Drosophila melanogaster: one gene and its partner. The protein of the gene in region 1 interacts with the protein of each later gene in a pairwise test. Each region holds a gene or a part of one and is shown on either strand. Other genes may lie near its edges.

Region 1 (3,780 bases):
ATGGCCTCGTTGATACGCTTCAGTTCCCTGTCCCGGAAGTACTGGTAGAGTAGCTCCGTTCCATCGGCTCCACGTTCGGCGGACATATAGGCGTCCACGAAGCGCTTGTAGGCACTCTCGATGGCCGGCCGTGACATGACCAGCTCCTCGTCGGTAAACTTGCACTTCTGCAGCAGCTCCTCTAGGATGTCCACATCCTCGAACTTAATCGCCTGCTTGCCACGCCGCATCTCGCAGCGTCGTTTCTCGAGGAAGTTACGGAAACAGTCCTCTAGAACCTGGCCCATCAACTCGGACTTCTCCTTGGAGAGATCACAGACACAGAGGTCCGATATTATGCTGTCCACCTGGCGCAGAGAGCGATCCAAAATGGTCTTGGCCACTGTAAGAAAATACAGGCGTGCGTAAAGAAAAGTTTGATACTTTCTACATCCTGTGGGAGTACTTACCCATAGCCTTTTCCCTTGTCACGATCACCGAATGTAGATAGTCGATGATGAACTGGCAGAGGCACTCTTTCTTCGGCTGACACCTTAGCACCTCCCGTGTAACATCTGATAGAAGTTCCGGCAGACCCTCTGGAACATTAATCGCCTGCTGGCGCATCTTGCCACGCTGGATCAAGTAATTCATCTTCGTTTTTCAAAAGTATAAAGCAAAATTCTATAATTTTGAACAGTTTAGCTGAGAAGAAGATAATAATTCGGAAATGGTTCAGTTTTGAAATCCCTTTTAACCGGTCTACTACGTTAAGAGCAAATGAAAATAATAATTTACAGCGCTCTACAATGATTTTTACACGGACTGACTGCGAAATACCTTGCTGATGTAAGGTGCTCAGTTCTGTTTACTTAACCTAGATGGCGCTAGCAAAAAGCTGGTTTAAATGTTTAAATGGTGAAAAACAATAATGGGTTATATATTCTCAATTTGATCCATGAGCTTAAATGTTTCAAAAAACTGTCTCACACGTGTTCCTGAAAATTCCCAAAGTCCACTAACTTTGTAATATGTAAGTTGAAAAATTGTAATGTGTACTTGTGTTTCATGTGGGTAAAATGCACCTTGTACCTTTCAATGAAAGTGGGTGTGTATCGGAAATTAGCATTGCCTAATTTCGTATTCAGCCGGTATAGGAAATCAACAGGGTTCTTGGTGGATTCTTCTTTATCGAAATCCATTGAACCGCTTTCCCTTTCTGTTCTTTCAAATGATCTTTAACCCAGAAACTTGGTAATTTCACAAAGTTAGCGCCAAAACAAAATACTTTCGATCATTTTAGGTAGTACTATATAGTTGAAACACTTTATACGAACACAGTGGCGCAGTGGTGACTTCGGCGCTTATCAATACCATTTTTAAATGAAACTTTAAAATTTGTTAAAAACCGATTATAAATTACAAATTTGAAACAACTAAAATGATTTTAGTAATTCTTATACTCAATTAAAATCAATTTAAAAGAACCATTTTACAAAATCGATTAGTAGTTTTTAATAAACGGGACCCCCTTTCAATCTCCTCCCATGAACTTCGCCTCAAAAAGCTGCGTATAAAAGCTGTTTTCCTCGGTTGTATTTCGATCGGCTCGTCGACGAGTGCGAAAAAGCTTTCACTACCTCGATCGCAACCGGCACCACGGGCTTGGGATCAGTTGGCGACGGAATGCAGCAGCTGATCAGAGTGGCGCGGACGTTGGGTGAGGAACTGGGTGATTCCCGGCTGACTGGATGATCGATTTGCCGCCTCCGTCTTTGCAGGTCAACGCTCGAGCGGCGCATGGAGTGCGAGGATAATCGCTGGTGGAAACCGGGGAATCGCATGCCTGGCCGCCCTCTCCGAGACCCACCAGATTCTCCAGAAGACTTGCCGGGAGTTCGCCAATGCGGAACTGGCCCCCAAAGCGCGACACCACGACCGGGAGGAGCTTTATCCGGCGGAACAGGTCCGACGGTTGGGAGAACTCGGTCTCATGTCAGTGACGGTTCGAGAGGAGTATGGTGAGTTCCTATTTCAATTATAATATTTACAATATTTACATAACATAAAATATGTGATGTTTTCATTTTTGAAATGGTATATAAATAGATCATACTACTAGATTCCATTCATTAAATATTGATTTTTCAGGTGGTTCCGGATTGGATTACCAGGCCTACGCGATTGGCATGGAGGAGGTGGCTCGTGGTGACGCCGCCGTGTCCATTGTGATGGGCGTGAATAACCTGTACCTGGGTGCAGTGCAGCAGCATGGAACCGAGCAGCAGAAGCAGGATTTCCTGGTGCCGTACACCCAGGGTGAGCACATCGCCTTCTATGCACTATCGGAACCTGGAAACGGATCGGATGCAGGAGCTGCCAGCACCACGGCCAAGCTGCAAGGGGACAGCTACCAAATAAACGGCACTAAAGCGTGGATATCAAACTCCAAGGAGGCCAGCGGGGGTATCGTCTTTGCCACGGTGGACAAGAGCATGAAACACAAGGGAATCACTGCCTTTCTTACGCCCAAGGATGTTCCAGGACTCTCCATAGCCAAGAAGGAAAGCAAAATGGGCATGCGCGCGACTTCGACTTGCCAGCTGGTGCTGGAGGACGTTCACGTGCCGCGATCCCGGGTCCTTGGAGCTGCCGGTGATGGCTTCAAGATCGCCATGCAGTCCTTGGACTGTGGCAGGATCGGTATAGCCGCCCAGGCCACCGGTATCGCACAAGCTGCCCTGGAACTAGCCGTGGATTATTCGCAGAAGAGGGTGGCCTTCGGAAAGCATCTGGCACGGTTGCAGCTCATCCAGCAGAAGCTGGCCGACATGGCCACGCGGGTGGAGATCTCAAGGCTGCTAACGTGGCGTGCCGCTTGGCTGAAGGATAATGGGCTGCCAATCACAAAGGAGGCGGCCATGGCCAAGCTGCATGCCTCCGAGTCCGCCACCTTTTGTGCCCACCAGTGCATCCAGATCCTGGGTGGGATGGGGTACACCACCGATCTGCCTGCGGAGCTTTACTACCGCAACGCCCGCGTCACAGAGATTTACGAGGGAACCTCGGAGATCCAAAGAATTGTGATCGCCAACGCAGTGCTGCGGGAATTGGGAAAGGAGTGAAAGCCATTGTTGGTTTTTCTTTATTACTGCTGCCAAACCAATCAGAATTCTTGCTTTTACACTTGTTGTGTATGTAAATTAGTTTATCTATGCCAGACAAATGCATTTAATAAAGTATATTTAAACAAATGAAACCTGGATTTAGAAAAATATCTTTTTTCGATTAAATGAGGTAATTCCCCTAACTATAACTCTTTATGTTATATTGAAATGTAACGGCTTGCACATGACAGCATATCTAACATTTTTACCAACAGAGAAATGTAAACTAACATAAATTTAACAGTCATAGACAGTCATGAGAGAAAATATCGATGTTGCCAGTCATCGATACATAATTCGATTTTATTACAGCTGCTCCCTTGTTATTGTTTTCTTAATTTAAATAAAACTAATTTGACGGCTAAATGACGGCCAATTTGTTAAACCTGAACGTGGACACGCTGTTTGAGCAGCACAGCGTGTCCGAGATAGACGAGGTGCACAAAAAGATCCAGTCGGTGGTGGAGAACAAGCGCGAGGAGTTGCGCACTCATGTCGGGTGAGTGATGTGGCACCTTCAGAAGATTTGCTGCTTAAACATTCTAAATCTTTAAGGGAGCGGTACCGAGATCTTTTGCAGGCGGCTGACACCATTGCTGCGATGCAAACGTCGGCCGGGACACTTATGGAGCAA
Region 2 (5,047 bases), on another chromosome or scaffold:
TCACATAGAATATAATTAGTGCTACCTAATTATAATATATATACTACACTTACATTCTCCGATCCGGAACCGTTCAAGGTGTAGAAGCGTCCATCTTCAGCCACGAAACCCGCCTGGGCACGAATGTCGGGGAGACCAAGTCCAGCTGTTTCGCCCTGCAACCAGTTAAGACCGCCATCCGGATAGATGAATTGCACAAACGTGCTCTGCTCGTTGGCAATCAGTGCCACCTGGAAGGTGTTCAGACGGTCCGTCTTGGAGTCAAAGTAGCCCACATTGCGCCACGTGGCCACGATCACCTGACGAGCCTCGAATTCAGACTGGCTGCTAAAGGCGTAACGCACCAAACTGGAGGCCCTGTCGAGAATACTTTGTTCCTTGGACTCGAACAGGGAGATCGAGGTGCCCTCATCACTGAACGAGGTGTCCACGTTCGAGTAGAAGGCCGCTATCGAAGCATATTCCAGCGGAAAGGGCTGGTTCAGGTACTCGGGAAACTCGGAGTTGAAGGTGAGGATGCCATTGGTGTTGATCTAGAGAATACATGAAAGAACTATAAGTAACACAAATAAGGAATATTCGGGAGTTACATTTAAAAGATCAATTGTCTTCGTCCAAAATGGTATTTATAAATGTTTCGAAGGCGATACTCAATTGGTGTACTCAAGGTGTTATTGAAAATGTTTTGCTTATTTCATTTGAAAGATATCAGGATCATTTTGTTAAGTGTATGGGAATAAGGAAGTTCCACTTGGGATCGTTTGAAGTGGAAATACTTGGCCTCCATATGGCGTGGCAATCAGTGCGCCCCGTGAAGTGCTAACGGGCCACTTAACTCCTAATGGCCATTCGCCTGGCGGAAACAAAACAACAACAAGCCATTAAGGAGGCGGCAAATGATCTGACGAAAGGATGTGGCCCGAGATGCATATTAAGTGATCTGCTGCAGTGCCTCCTAATTGAGTCCTCGGCCGACATCCGCCTAACGATCCGCCTAAAATTAGCTGCAACTCCATCGATGCAACAGGCAATCTGAATAAACAACCCGGAATGGGAGCACAGGTGTTTCCGAAATGCCTTTCTTGTGGTTGCCGACAGGCCGTTGCATAAATCATGTCACTCTGGTGGCTCCACGGATTCCGTTCATCGCGACGGGGAAACACGGATGTCTGGAAATTCCGGCAGCTTGCCTGGTGATTTGTATGGATGCCCAACTCCACATGGATATCCAACATGCCACAATGGGTGCTAAATTGAGGTTGGGTAAGCAAACATCAAATACTTCACTCCTGCTTAGCCTCTATTTCACACCTCAATTGTGCAAAGTATTCAAAATGTTTAAATTGTTGTTAAAATTGTTTCTATTTTGCTTAAAGTGGGTGTTGCATTTGCAAACAAAACGACAAGTCCAGATTAGGAAACAAATGATATCATGAAACATAAACACGACGAAACATAAAATAGATTATTATTCCCCTCAAATGTCATTTGTAATGAAATGCAAATTCATATCCTCGAATGATCTTTTCAATATTTTTTTATATCAACATTATTTTGAATTCTTTTCGCTTAAAGGAATCTAGGCTGGCATTGTTCTCACGATTTTGCCGACTGACTGACGGACTATTGACGAGTTTATTTATACCCTTTCGTAATGACTTCGACACCAATCCGACCCAAGCGCTTTGGAGCTGGCTGGCTACAAGCTACTGGCTCCTCCGATCATTTCAAGCATTCCGCCAAGGAATTTTCAACGAAATTTATGGATTTCTATGGCCATAAAGCTCGTTTTGGCCGTTCTGATTCTGTGCCGCGTGCTATTTCTCTACGTCAGACACATAAATTTAGTTAATTAACTAACAAAATGCAGAGCAGATAAAAAAGCGCGTTCAAAAATAGGCGACACTCGCAGTAGGCTCTCAATTCGGAGAACTCATAACTTTGGCTGCCAAGTGCCGAAACCACTCAGACACTCGGATGCCCGGAGCTCTGGCATCTGGCACTTGGCCAAGGCGGCAAAGCGACATCAATGGGTTTGGTTTTCGGTTTTTGGTCTTGGACCACCCTCAAGTGCCTGCGGATTGTAGCTGCGGATGTGTGGCACTTGAGGATTATTGGGACACGGTGCGAGTGGGGTGCGTGTGTGGAAATCGATGTGCGACCTGTCATGTTTTGCCGAAAATTAATGTCGCCTATAAATACGCGGGCACCACAACAAAGCAGGCTCCCCCAGAAATAGATGCATGGTAGTCTAGAAACTATTGAACCGCGTTGTGTTTGCATATAGATTGCCCCTTATCAACGCGTGCTTATCACCTCGTCACCCTGCACGCTGCAAAAATTCATTCAGTGCACAATATTTGAGATACTTTGTAGTCTCACATAATTCTGCATCTACTGAGGGGGGTATGCGTGCTAGGGGTACTCACATAGAGCTGCTCGTACTGCTCCCCGTAGAAGTGAATGGGCTGCTCCAGTTGCAGCACGATCGTTTCGCTGTCGCCCTTGGGCAAGAGGTGTATGCTGCCCAGGGAGCCATCCTCGAACTCGTACAATTCCGAGGCGCGCAGGCTGTCCAGATAGTGCTCGAACTGTCCGCTGACCAGGATCACCGAGCTGAGCAGCAGGCAGGCGAGCAACTTACTGCCGAAGGTCGGCATTGTGGCGGGATATGGATGGGTCCTTCCTGACTTGTGTATCTCTCTACTTCTTTGACTTTGACACGCGGGGATTTCACAATTTCGCCACTGGCATTTTCACACTAGACACAAAACCGAATTCCTAAGGCACTCAAGTTTGATCCAAAAATATAGGCGATTTATAAATAAATTGTGGCACTATCTATTCGTCGAGTATATATAGAGGTTTATGGCGTGTGTATAGTTTGACAGAATTTTGGAACTGTCGCTCCAAGTGGCGGCCCAGCTCCTCTGCTTTTGCTTCTGCTTTCTGCTTTACTTTTGGTTTCTGCTTCCTAAGCACGCGAGCAAGGAAACCCGAACGAACTGCACGGTTTGCCAACAGATTCTCGACTGATTGGCCGTCGTCTCCGCGGTGGATTCTCCTCGACTCGGTGCTCATCCGTCCGTTACCATCGAGTATCTGTGTGAGCTGCTGGCCGGAGTGCCGTTTAGTTTGTGCACGTGTGTGTGGGTGAGTGGCGGAAAGCGAGAGTTTCTCTGGAGGCCCCAGATACCATACCGAATAGGATCCACACACTGGCTGCACTCCAAACCAGATGCTGTTCGATTATGACAATTCTTTATTGATGTTTACCATCAACAGTCGTCGTTGGCATGGGCTCTCGCTTTGAAGGAGTACGTAATTATGGCCAAATAAAATAATCAGTTAACAACGGAATATTGTCAGTATGGGATTGCTCATTTATTTGGTGATATTCAGAATCAGCATTTTATCATTTTAATAGACTCCATCATATGTAAGAGTAAAGGTTTAAAATATAACGCCCATAGCATACCAACTATTGAACGACTTCATAGATGTTAGTCTTACTTTTGTTAACTTAGTCTTACCAAAGACCCTAGAATTCTAGTGTCTTTGGTCTTACCACGTATTTCGTGTTCTAAAAAGGTAGTGTTTAGTGAGATTTACAGATTCTCCGGACGATATATTATAAAACATATAACCATATGGTCACCGTGGATATAGAAATTAGTTCTCCCAAGGGAGACTTCTGGGCCGGGCTTCCGTAACACATTGGTGCTACTAGATAGTTTCGGGAGTCCCAATTCCAGGGAACTGAACTTGAAGCGGGCACGTGCCGCTTGATTGCTCTTGCCCCCCAAAATTCCCGCAGCGCATGCCACCGTGAAGCGGCGCGTGGAAAGGGCGAAGCGTATGGATACCTTCTCAACAGTCACACCGAGTCCACACGCATATCCACACCCAATCCTCAGAGGGTGATGCGCACTCCAAGACATTTGAGCAGTGGCGCCAAAACAGCTGAGTTAGAGTTTTTTCTTTAAAATGGTTTTAAACTCAGTGAAACCTGGCATATGAATTAAAATCGTGCATAGTTATTTGTTAATTTAGTTTTGGCTCAAGCAATTCGTCTTAATTTTAAATAATGTAAAAATGAAAAGGTAAGGAATAAATTGGTGCTAGCAACCTTTCTAAATAATATTAAGACTCATTTCATTTTTACATTACATTCATTCGGAATCAATATTAAAATGTTAACATTTAAATAAAAAGCTAGTTCTTAAGATCTAACATCACTAATCCAGAGCACTCCCATTCCTTGGCGGGGTGTGTGTGCGAGTCGAAAATAAACAAATGGTAAACTTCTGAGGCAGCGACGCAACGTCTGCTCCCTGACTGATGAGGATCGGGTGCGGGCGAGGAGGAGGTGGAGGAGTAGGAGCAGGAGGAGCTGGAACCCAAGATACAACTGGAACCAATGACGGGGGATGGGGGTCCGTCAGTTGGACTATTTATGATGTATTTCTCGGTTAATTAGTTGCAGCTGAATGCAGCGGAATGGGTGTGGGAATGGAATTGGGATCGGGAATGCTTCCGCATGCATTTGCTAGACATCATACCAGTCATCTTCGCCCGACCAGAAGACCAATGGAAAGTGCGTGGCCCAGGGCCCGGGTAATTTTTTGCTATATTTGGATATTGCGCCGCTTGATCGGTGATGGATGCCTGCGCCTTTTCATCTGCAGTGCGTTCCAGGAACTGGAGCGTAACGATGACGACGTCGACGGTCACGATGACGCTGCACCCGGCCAGACTGTTGGGCCATTTTCGGGTGGAATAATTAAAAACGTAAATTAAGCCCCAAATTAAAAGCCATCAAATGTTACGCAAAATTACACCCCTAAAGCGGGCGCTCAGTTATAAAAGCCACTGACTTCTAAATGGATTTACCCCTGGCATTGCGGAAAATGTGCTCCCAACTGTTCGCATTTCTGCTCCTCCTTTTGACCGCTTTTGTGACGGGTAGAAGTACTCCACCGGCGTTGGATGAAGACTGTGAACTGAATTCTGTAGATACAATGGTGAGTTGTAGACATGGATGGAT

What was found.
Region 2: the proteins of CG4860 (region 1) and Ndg interact in a two-hybrid assay, tested with the Drosophila melanogaster proteins (one large-scale study listed by BioGRID).

Annotation. Positions count from the first base shown.
Region 1 is NT_033777.3:12,219,336-12,223,115, reverse strand, and holds CG4860 (uncharacterized protein), read left to right. Parts: upstream 1-1,651; 5' UTR 1,652-1,665; coding exon 1,666-1,699; exon of another isoform or gene 1,700-1,760; coding exon 1,761-2,000; exon of another isoform or gene 2,001-2,077; intron 2,078-2,130; coding exon 2,131-3,104; 3' UTR 3,105-3,235; downstream 3,236-3,780. Other genes in the region: Rsbp15 (radial spoke binding protein 15), read right to left, coding at 1-382, 450-633; Cog1 (component of oligomeric golgi complex 1), read left to right, coding at 3,512-3,645, 3,702-3,780.
Region 2 is NT_033778.4:10,311,887-10,316,933, reverse strand, and holds the start of Ndg (nidogen), read right to left. Parts: upstream 3,044-5,047; 5' UTR 2,661-3,043; coding exon 2,430-2,660; intron 534-2,429; coding exon 54-533; intron 1-53. Other genes in the region: Obp46a (Odorant-binding protein 46a), read left to right, coding at 4,911-5,024. UniProt on the Drosophila melanogaster protein: Cell adhesion glycoprotein which is widely distributed in basement membranes. Involved in cell-extracellular matrix (ECM) interactions probably by connecting the laminin and collagen IV networks.